Anolis sagrei: one gene and its partners. The protein of the gene in region 2 interacts with the protein of the main gene of each other region in a pairwise test. Links are inferred from orthologs where the notes say so. Each region holds a gene or a part of one and is shown on either strand. Other genes may lie near its edges.

The links. The genes of interacting proteins can lie anywhere in the genome.
Region 1: the proteins of MBIP (region 2) and PPFIA1 interact in binary tests that used the Homo sapiens proteins (3 or more experiments, as listed by UniProt). The two-hybrid records come from large-scale screens. The link is inferred for Anolis sagrei from reciprocal best matches to the Homo sapiens genes MBIP and PPFIA1.
Region 3: the proteins of MBIP (region 2) and PLEKHF2 interact in binary tests that used the Homo sapiens proteins (3 or more experiments, as listed by UniProt). The two-hybrid records come from large-scale screens. The link is inferred for Anolis sagrei from reciprocal best matches to the Homo sapiens genes MBIP and PLEKHF2.

What each region holds. Positions count from the first base shown.
Region 1 is NC_090021.1:267,216,289-267,220,041, forward strand, and holds the start of PPFIA1 (liprin-alpha-1), read left to right. Parts: upstream 1-863; 5' UTR 864-1,885; intron 1,886-3,753. UniProt on the Homo sapiens protein: May regulate the disassembly of focal adhesions. May localize receptor-like tyrosine phosphatases type 2A at specific sites on the plasma membrane, possibly regulating their interaction with the extracellular environment and their association with substrates.
Region 2 is NC_090021.1:301,829,749-301,833,501, reverse strand, and holds the start of MBIP (MAP3K12-binding inhibitory protein 1), read left to right. Parts: upstream 1-857; 5' UTR 858-940; coding exon 941-1,072; intron 1,073-3,753. UniProt on the Homo sapiens protein: Inhibits the MAP3K12 activity to induce the activation of the JNK/SAPK pathway. Component of the ATAC complex, a complex with histone acetyltransferase activity on histones H3 and H4.
Region 3 is NC_090024.1:33,460,940-33,464,692, reverse strand, and holds the start of PLEKHF2 (pleckstrin homology domain-containing family F member 2), read left to right. Parts: upstream 1-1,441; 5' UTR 1,442-1,565; intron 1,566-3,753. UniProt on the Homo sapiens protein: May play a role in early endosome fusion upstream of RAB5, hence regulating receptor trafficking and fluid-phase transport. Enhances cellular sensitivity to TNF-induced apoptosis.

The sequences.
Region 1 (3,753 bases), about 35 Mb from region 2:
GTACCATTACAGAGAGAGGTCAACCCTCCTGTTCAAGGAGCTCCACTGGCTGCCGTTTATCTTCCGAGCCCAATTTAAGGTGCAGGTGCTTACCTACAAAGCCCTGAACGGTTTGGGACCACCCTACCTGCGTGACCGCATCTCCGTCTACGAACCCACAAGTTCACTTTGGTCATCTGGAGAGGCCCTGCTCGTGATCCCGCCTGCGTCGCAAGCGCGCTTGGTGGGGACTTGAGACAGGGCCTTTTCTGTGGTGGCCCCCCGACTCTGGAACACCATCCCAAGAGATCTCAGACAGGCCCCTACACTGGCAGTCTTCAGAAAGAACTTGAAGACCTGGCTGTTCCGATGTGCCTTCTCAGATTAGGAACCTCCAATACCAAGTCCCAGAAGCACTTTAGTAGAACTAAGATTACTGCACACTGCACTCTGCACTTACTTATAATCCTACATACCTCCTGCCACATCAGCACTTTTAATCTTGCACCCATTACTCTGGCCCGGCCCAGTTTTATAGTGTCTTGATGTATTGTTTACTGTTTGTTGTTTATTCTGCTTAACTGTTTTTAATTTGCTTTAGGTATTGTATTGTTGTATTGTGTTTTGAGGCCTTGGCCTGTGTTAGCCGCATCGAGTCCTTCGGGAGATGCTAGTGGGGTACAAATAAAATTAATAATAATAATAATAATAATAATAATAATAATAATGATAATAAATAGCCCGAAAAAACCTACAACAACCCAGCAGCAAGAAAAGCTTCCCTTGTGCAATCCCGCTTCCTGGCCAGAGGAGGCGCGAGAGAGCCAGGTTGGGATGGAGAGAAAGAGCGGAGCGCCTCCCGCGGTGCATTGTGGGCCACGCGCGGCTGTGTACAGGAGCCGCAAAGGCTGCCGGGAAGAGCAGGAACAGCGAAGGAGGCGGCGAAGGAGGAGAAGGAGAAGAAGGAGGAGGAGGCGGCGGCGGGCCCGGCTGGAGGCAGTGACGGCGGGACCCTTCCGGCTCCAAGGGCGGACTCCCAGAGCGGCCTCTCCCGGGCCCAAGCCGCCGCCACCGCCGCGGGACGGAGGCAGCCCCTTCCTTCGGGCGGGAGACCTGGCTGCTCGGACGTGGAGGGGGCGGAGCGCCGGCCTGGGCCTCGTCTCCTCAGGAGCCCGCCCCGGACCCTCACCCACTCACTCCTCGGGCAGGGAAGAGGGCCGGGGAAGGAGGAGAGAGCGGGAGAGAGGAGGAGGAGAAGCCCCCGTGCCTCTTCCCCTTCGGACTCCCTGGCCTCCCTCATGCCCTCGCTTCAGCCGGAGAAAGAGGAACCGCTCTAAAGGCGGCCGAGAGGAGCCGGGAACGCGAAAGGAGGAAAGGACCCTCAGCTGCCTAGCAAGGGCCCCACAGGAGGAGTGCCTTCCCGCTTGGTTCATCGCCTCTGCTCATTTGTACCTCTTGTGTTTTTATAGTCCTGCCCTCATGACCTCAAGCGAGGAGTCTCTGTAACGTGTATTGTTTGTTCGCCATCGTTGGCCCAGAAGCACTGAAAAAACCACAACGCACTGGCTTTCTTCGCTTCTTTGTTGTTGTGTTTTTAAAAGAGTATATTTCTTTAAAAGACCTGTGGATCAGGATGAAATAGGAATCGAGCTGAAGTCTGCGCTCATCGTCTCCATTTGCGAACTGGACTATTTGCTGCTCCTGTTGAAGTATTTTTTTTTTTACCCCTCAGCAGGATTATTTATTGCCTTATGTGAATCTTTGTGGATGTTGTATAGCCTGGTTGGGTGGCTGCTCCACCCTTGGAAATATACTTGGAAATCGTTATGCAAAGTTCCTAAAGAGAGCTGATATTGCTGGAAAAAATACCTTGGCCTCCTAAAACCATTTCTTTTCCTCAAGCAAGGTAAAGGAAAGCAGTGGAAGTCTGTAGTAGTTCAAAGCAGATAATGTAGTTATTGAGAGGCCCCTTCCGTACAGCTGAATAAAATCCCACATTATCTGCTTTAAACTGGGATATAAGGCAGTGTGGGTTCAGGGCCTTTCCACACAACCCTATATCCCAGAATATATGCTTTGAACTGGGTTATCTGAGTACACACATGTAATGAGGGATTTTCTGCCTTGAAATTCTGGGGTATAGTGCTGTGTGGAAGGGCCCTCAGATAACCCACACACGCCCCCCTTCCACACAGCTGAATGAAATCCTACATTATCTGCTTTGAACTGAGATATATAGCAGTGTGGAATCAGGGCCCTTCCACACAGCCCTATATCCCAGAATATCAAGGCAGAAAATCTGCTTTGAACTCGGTTATCTGAGTCCACACACATATAATGTGGGATTTTGTGCCTTGGTATTCTGGGATATAGCGCTGTGTGGAAGGGCCCTCAAATAACCCACACGCCCCCCTTCCCACACAGCTGAATGAAATTCTACATTATCAGCTTTGAACTTGGATATATGGCTGTGGACTCAGATAACACAGTTCAAAGCCGATACTGTGGGTTATTCTGCCTTCCTATTCTGGGTTATATGGCTGTGTGGAAGGGCCCCCAGTTCAAAACAGATATTGTGGGATGTTCTGCCTTGATAGTCTGGGTTATATGGCTGTGTGGAAGGGCCCAGAACAATAACTTGAAATACATTCCACTCTCCATGTGTTGTGTAATAATGATATAATAATACAACTTTATTTATATCCCACCCCATCTCCCCAGAGGACTCTGAGTGGCTTAAACTCTTGTTTACTTGTTGCTGGTTGTTAAGAGTTAACTATAAAGTTCATTTTCATTACTATAGAATCATAAACATATGGGGAGTGGAATTTATCTCATGGAAGGTCCCTTGGCAAAATTGCTAGCTTATGTTTCATGGTGATCATCTAAAGAAGGATAAAGAACATTATTGGAATAGTTGGCTTTAATTGAACGTGGTTTGCTTTAATTAAAACACTCCCTATGTTTGGAAACTGAGATTTGTTCTGGTTGTTAAAAGAATTCTAGTGTTGTACTGAAATGTACAGATACATATACATTTACATTCAAGTTTAGAGACCTCTTCAATCACTGTAATTTTAAAAATCAACTATTTGTTTGCAAGGGCCTTGTTCAGTTCCTCTGATACTTTCCTGGAACAGTTTAAAGGGAGTACTAATACAACCACATTACTTTTTGATCTGCACTACTTTTTAATTAACTTACAATTCTCCACTTTTATTATTCTTCCTCTGATGCCATGTCCTCGAGGCCAAAAATTGTAGTGGTTTGAGTGTTGGACTATGATGCTGGAGATCAGGGTTTGAAACCCTGCTTGGCCATGGAAATTCATTGGTTGATTCAACCTCAGGAAGCCACATGATAAGTTTACCTTAGGCTCATCTTAGGTTGGAACCTACTTGAAGGTATAGATATGTACTACTGATCTAGTGTATATTATTCATTAATCCCAGCCCCATTCTCCCATGTTCTTCAGAACACTACATTATTAAGGACTACTAACTTTCTGCCAGTGTACTTTCTCAGCATGCCTTCTCATGCCTTCTTCTTTCAATAGCATGTAACAAAACATCATAGAGATTTTTATTCTCAAAACTGAAAATAATTTAGCTATTTAGGAATAATGTTTACATTTAGATATTATCAAAATTATATGAATAATTACATGTGACTATAACGCTTTGTAAACTATTATATTAAACCTTCCTCATCCTTTTTCCATTTATTGCAAGCTTTCCTGTAGTTAACTAAGTTGATATTCAGGAACACTTAGAG
Region 2 (3,753 bases):
GTAGATCTTAGAAAACTATGTCTGGATTTAAGTCGTTGACATGCTGGCTGATACCCAAACAGGGGATGAGCTGGAGATGTCTCTGCCTTGGTCCTTTCACTATTGGCTGCCACTTCCCGGCGGATGTCAGGTGGTGCGATACCGGCTAGACAATGTAATTTCTCCAGTGGTGTAGGGTGCAGACACCCCATGATAATGCGGCATGTCTCATTAAGAGCCACATCCACTGTTTTAGTGTGGTGAGATGTGTTCCACACTGGGCATGCATACTCAGCAGCGGAGTAGCACAGCGCAAGGGCAGATGTCTTCACTGTATCTGGTTGTGATCCCCAGGTTGTGCCAGTGCCCACTTTTTGCTTGATGTTCAGGCAGTGCTTCTTGTAGGTAAGAGCACGGTCCAGAGTGACTCCCAGGTATTTGGGTGCGCTGCAATGCTCCAGTGGGATTCCTTCCCAGGTGATCTTCAGAGCTCAGGATGCTTCTCTGTTCTTGAGATAAAAGGCACATGTCTGTGTTTTAGATGGCAATTCCCATGACTCCATAGCATTGAGCCTTTGCAGTTAAAGAGGAGTAAAATGCAATCATTCTGCAGTGTAGATGCACCCATAAAAAGTGAAAGAGAAGGCTGATTAGCTTATAAAACTGCAACTCCCATGATTCCATAGCACTGAGCCATGGCAGTTAAAAGTGGCATCCAAGTACAAGCCTGCTGCAGCGTAGAGCACCCAACTTCCCTTGCGCATGCGCGTTCCAGGAGCCAGGGCCTTTAGAACCTTCCTAAATCCTCAAGCCATTCCACGCTGGCCGTCAATCTTGAGCCTGGAGGGGGCGGAGCAAAGGGCGGGCTCTTGGAACGGAGGGAGCGCTGTCGTCATCGACGCGCGACCACGTCCAAGGGGGCGAGGTATGGCGAGGGTTGCCTTGGCGCTGAGCGGCTGTCATGGCGTCCACCGGGGAAGGGAGCTGCTCTGGTGAAGCCGAGGCCTCCGCCCGGGCGGGGAACTCCTCCGAAGAGGCGCTCCGAGAGATCCTGAGGGACTCCCTGCGTGTGCTGCTTCGGCTGGCAGAGGAGGTGAGTGGGCCGAGGGGAGCCGTGAGAGAACAGGCGGCGGAAAGGGGAACCGGGCTGGAAGTTGAGGTGGGGAAGGGGAGAAGCGGGCTTTGGTTGGCGAGGGAGTTTAACAGGCCCCATTCTAAAGGTGCCCCAGACCCTCTTTGCTTGATTTGCAAAATTCTGGCTAGTATTTCGAGTGCTTTTTTCCCACAATTTCACTGGATATCCCAGGCAGGGGCCAACTTGGGCCCTCCGGGTGTTTTGGACTTCAACTCCCACAATTCCTAACAGCCAGTAGGCTGTTAGGAATTGTGGGAGTTGAAGTCCAAAACACCCGGAGGGCCCAAGTTGGCCCCTGCCTGGGATATACACTGCCATATAATGCAGTTTGCGCATTACATTAAAGGACATCAACATTATAGAATGATTGCAGTGTGACACTACTTAAACCAATCATGGCTCAATGCTATGGAATCATGAGAGAAGTAGTTTCAAAGGTCTTCAGCCATCTCTGCCAAAGAGTGCTGTGACCTCATGAAATTACAACTCCCATCAAGCCAGGGCGGTTAAAGCGATGTCAAATGCATTAATTCTATAATGTAGATGGCCCCAAGGGCCTCCTGATGGTGCAGCAGTTTAACCACCAAGCTGCTGAACTCGCTGACCGAAAGCTTGCTGGTTTGAATATGGGGAGTGGGGTGAGCTCCTGTTGTTAGGCCCAGCTTCTGCCAACCTAGCAGTTCGAAAACATGCAAATGTGAGTAGATGAATAGGTACTGCTTTGGTGGGAAGGTAATGGCCTTCCTTGCAGTCATGCCGGCCACATGTCTTAGGAGGCATCTACAGACAGCATTTCTAAGCTCTTCGGATTAGAAATGGAGATGAGCACCACACCCCAGTCAGACACGACTAGACTTAATGTCAAGGGAAAATCTTTATCTTTACCTTTTTTGGATGGCCCCATTTGTACAGTTTCAAGCCAGTATTGAAGACACTGGTTTCAGCTGTGCTGATGCTTACATAGAAAATTTTGGAACCAATTTGAGGCCTGGATAGTGATTGCACAAACCACTGGTGCACATTAAGGGCTTTCTTTCACACACTTTTGCAGTAGCTTGTGGTCTGAGACTAGCCTCAAACTACATTAAATTGCCAGCATAGTTTGTTTTTCAAGGGTGGCTGTTGCCATGTGCATTCAAGCAATTTCTGGCCAAATGAGACTGTTAGGCAGTGATTCTCGACCTGTGGGTCCCCAGGTGTTTTGGCCTACAACTCCCAGAAATCCCAGCCAGTTTACCAGCTGTTATGATTTCTGGGAGTTGAAGGCCAAAACATCTGGGGACCCACAGTTTGAGATCCACTGCCCTATCACACAGTTTTCTTGACACAATTTGTTCAGGAGAGGTTTGTCCTTGTCTTCCTCTGAGTCAGAGAGTGTACGACTTGCCCATGGTTGTCCAGTGGGTTCATGACTATGTAAATTCAGAATTATCTTAATTCTAAGTTGCATCCTTCCTATCTTGCTCCATTCAATGGAGTTTTGAGCTCTAGTTTTGTGTATACATAAGAAATTACATCTGTCTCCCTGGACATACTTCATCATTTTGCAGAAGTGACCAGTCTTGCACCCTAACTGTGCTAGAAAGAAAACTCTGAAGTTTCACAAGGCATCTGATAGGAATAAGGAATGTGGATCATTGGAAGTAGAAATTGTACAAAAATGGGAAATACAAACCTTGTGATAAAAGCTTGAGTATCCCATTGTCTGAAATGCTTAGGACCAGAGGTGTTCTGTATTTCAGATTTTATCTGGAGTTTTCAATACTACCATATTCATAATGAGATATCTTGGAGATGAGATCCAAGTCTTAACACAAAATTCATTGTTGTTTTGTATATATCTTACACAAATAGTCTGAAAGTAATTTTATGTACCATATAAAAATGTTCTTGAAGCAAACGTTGGTGTATATTAAACCATCAAAGTCAGGGTGTCACTATATCAGCCATCCATGTGGACAGTTTGGGATTTTGGAATACTTCAGGTAGGGGATGCTCATCCTGTAAATGGTGTGAGGAAACTAATGTCAATAGGAATTTTCAGTGCAATAATTACATAACGTTTTACTCAGGAAATTACCATCTAAGAAATCAGATGGAATGCATAATAAATTGTAATATAGTAAAAGCAATCAGGAAATATAATTTAAAGTTAGACCAAGTAATTTCATGGAATAACTATGAAAATAATTTTAATCCAAGTTTATGCTCCCAATTCTGTTGGTAGAAAATAAAAAATCAATGCAATCTATGCAGGCTTTCAGGAATAAATCAATCAGACATATTGATCATGGGTGATTGAATCTCAGTGGGAAGAAAAAGAGGAGAACCAAGCATTTTTGGCCTAGAATAAAAAATGAAGCAGGAGAGGGACTGATGAAATTTTGTGAAGGCATCGGGCTTTTGTTGTTACAAAGACATTATTTAGGCATTTGAAAAGATTTATACATGTACATTATTGTATGACTAATACTGAATTAAAAATGTATAATTGGAAGGAGAAAATGGAGAGGCTCAATTCTTTCTCCAAAAACAATACTAGGAACAGATTGTGACACAGGCCATGAACTGCTAATATCAAAAATTAGAGAAAACGTAATAAAATGCATTAAATCAATTGTAATCTATATATATAAATC
Region 3 (3,753 bases), on a different chromosome or scaffold from region 2:
GTGTCACCTTTGGTCCAATTCCATCATTGGTGGAGTTCAGAATGCTCTTTGATTGTAGGTGAACTATAAATCCCAAGAACTACAACTCCCAAATGACAAAATCAGAAAGTTTTGAGTGAAGGCCATACATTGGGTTGTTAGGTGTCTTGTGTCCAAATTTGGTGTCAATTCGCCCAGTGGTTTTTGAGTTATGTTAATCTTACAAACGAACATTACATTTTTATTTATATAGAAGATTGTATTGTCGAAGGCTTTCATGGCCGGGATCACTGGGTTGTTATAGGTTTTTCTGGGCTATATGGCCATGTTCTGGAGGCAATTTTTCTCCTGACGTTTCGCCTGCATCTATGGCAAGCATCCTCAGAGGTAGTGGGGTCTGTTGGTAGTAGGAAAAATGGGTTTATATATCTGTGGAATGACCAGGGTAATGTTTCAGCTGATTATTATTATTATTATTAAACTTTATTTGTACAAGCATGTGGACAATTTCTGTTGAAATTGTCCACATGCTTGTGGATATCAAAGGCTTCTCTGTGTAGTCTGACATGGTGGTTGTGAGAGTGGTCCAGCACTTCTGTGTTCTCAAATAGCATCTCCCGAAGGATTCGATGTGGCTTACACAGGCCGAGGCCTCAACACACAACACAACAATACAATCTAAGCAAATCAAACAATTAAAAACAGAATAAAGCAAAATAAACAACAGGCACAATACACTAAACACAATAAAACTGGGCCGGGCCAGAGCAATGGGTACAAGATTAAAAGTGCTGATGTGACAGGAGGTGTATATAGGGCTTCCAGGGCAAGTGCGATGTGCGATGTGCAGCAATCATTGGTTCTGATAAAGTGCTTATGGGACTTGGTAGTGGAGATTTCCTAATCTGGGAAGGTGCATTGGAAAAGCCAGGTCTTCAAGTTCTTTCTGAAGACAGCCAATGTAGGAGCCTGTCTAAGGTCTTTGGGGAGGGTGTTCCAGAGTCGGGGGGGGCCACCACGGAAAAGGCCCTGTCCCGCGTCCCCACCAAGCGCGCTTGCGACGCTGGTGGGATCACGAGCACCTTGATTTGTATTCAATGGCCTGGAAGCGCCTGGGGGGAATCTCTTGTTGAGAGTGAATTGAAGTGCCTGATTGTATAGAGAAGATTATAGGTACATATAACTTGTAAGCTGCCGTGAGTCCCCTTCGGGGTGAGAAGGGCGGCGTATAAATGTCGAAAATAAAGAAATAAATGAGGCAAATAAATAAATAAATAGGAATGGAGGGAGTTGAGAGTCCAAAACAGCTGAAGAGAGGGCCCAAGTTTGCTCAGGCCTGGTGTAGAGGCGTCCAAAGAGGAGCTCTGAGGGTGAAAACCGTGGGGGCGGCCTACCTCCCTCCCTCCCAAGATGGCGGCGGCCCCTCCTCCTCCTTCTCCCTGGGGCGGGATGATGGCGCCTCCTCCTCCTCCTCTCTCTCTCCCTCTCCGGGCGGGGCAGCAGGACTTCCAGCAGTAGCAGCAGCCGTCGACGGAGCGAGAGGAGAGGAAAGGGAGCCGGGCAGGAGGGCGCCCATCGGCTTCTCCGTAAGCAACCTCTCGGCGCCGCTTTTTTTGGGGAGGGAAGAGGGAGTGAGGGAAGGAAGGAGAAACTTTGCCTCGCGCTCCTCCTCGGGGAACCCGCGGCCATGTTGGGATGGGATCCCGCCACTCGGGGGATCTCTTCCCGTGAGGAGGGGAGGGGAGAAAGGAGAAAGCGAGGCCCGGGGGGGGGGGGGGGAGGACGGGTCTCTCGGCTCCTTTCGTGCCCGTCGAGGGCCGGCTGCTTGGACGACAATTTGGCCGAACTCTTGCCCACTTCCGCGTGTGTTTCCCAAAGTGTGACAAACTGAGGAGGGAGGGAGGGAAACTCCTGGCCCTCAGGGGATGGATGCCCCCCCCCCCCCAAATAGGCACAGCCCCAGCAAGTAGGCATTCGGATAGTTGTGTGTATATATGTAATGTGTGTGTGTGTTGAAGAAAGGATTGCAAACTTCACTTTCACAATTTCTCTTGCCATTTTGCCACACCTTGCTTACTACTGGAAGTGTTATTTCTGTCAAAGTTGTGTACAAAACTGAAGAAAAGGGGATTCATTTACACATACACACATACAGAGAGAATCACACACACACATACAAATGCATCACTTTGCTTACTACTGGGAAGTTGTGTTCCTGTCAATGTTGTGTACAAAACTGAAGAAAAGGGGATTCATTTACACATACATACAGAGAGAGAATCACACACACGCAAATGAATCACTTTGCTTACTACTGGGAAGTTGTGTTCCTGTCAGAGTTGTGTACAAAACTGAAGGAAAGGGGATTCGTTTACACATACACACATACAGAGAGAATCACACACACACACAAATGCATCACTTTGCTTACTACTGGAAGCGTTATTCCTGTCAAGGTTGTGGACAAAACTGAAGAAAAGGGGATTCATTTACACATACACACAGAGAGAGAATCACACACACACACAAATGCATCACTTTGCTTACTACTGGAAGCATTATTCCTGTCAAGGTTGTGGACAAAACTGAAGAAAAGGGGATTCATTTACACATACACACAGAGAGAGAATCACACACACAAATGCATCACTTTGCTTACTACTGGGAAGTTGTGTTCCTGTCAAGGTTGTGTACAAAACATAAATAATGTCTCTGTTTATGTAGAATAAAGGATTGCAAACTTCACTTTTGCACTTTCCTTTGCCATTTTGCCACACTTTGCTTACTACTGGAAGCTTTATTCCTGTCAAAGTTGTGTACAAAACTGAAGAAAAGGGGATTCATTTACACATAGAGAGAATCACACACACACATACACACACACACACAAATGCATCACTTTGCTTACTATTGGGAAGTTGTATTCCTGTCAAAGTTGTGTACAAAACTGTAGAGAACGGGATTCGCATACTCACAAATATGCACAGTCACACACACACACACACACACATATACACACATACATGCATCATGCTTTGCTTACTATTGGGAAGCTTTATTCCTGTCAATGTTGTGTACAAAACTGAAGCGGAGATTCATATGTGTACATAAATAATGTCTCTGTGTTTGTGTGTATAATTTATAGATAGATAGATAGATAGATAGATAGATAGATAGATAGATAGATAGATAGAGAGGGAGAGAGAGAATAGAGGATTGCAAACTTCACTTTTGCACTTTCTTTTGCCATTTTGCCACACTTTGCTTACTACTGGAAGCTTTATTCCTGTCAAGGTTGTGTACAAAACTGAATACATACACACATATAGAGAGAATCACACACACACACACACACACACACAGAAATGAATCTTTTTGCTTACTACTGGAAGTGTTATTCCTGTCAAAATTGTGTACAAAACTGAAGAAAAGGGGATTCATTTACACATACACACATACAGAGAGAATCACACACACATGCATCACTTTGCTTACTACTGGGAAGTTGTGTTCCTGTCAGTGTTGTGTACAAAACTATAGAGAACGGATGCATTTACACACAAATATGCACAGTCTCTCCCATATATATATATATATATATATACACACACACACACACACACACACACACACACACACACACATGCATGCATCACGCTTTGCTTACTATTGGGAAGCTTTATTCCTGTCAGAGTTGTGTACAAAACTGAAGCGGAGATTCATATGTGTGCATATATAATGTCTGTGTTTGTGTGTATTATATATATATATATA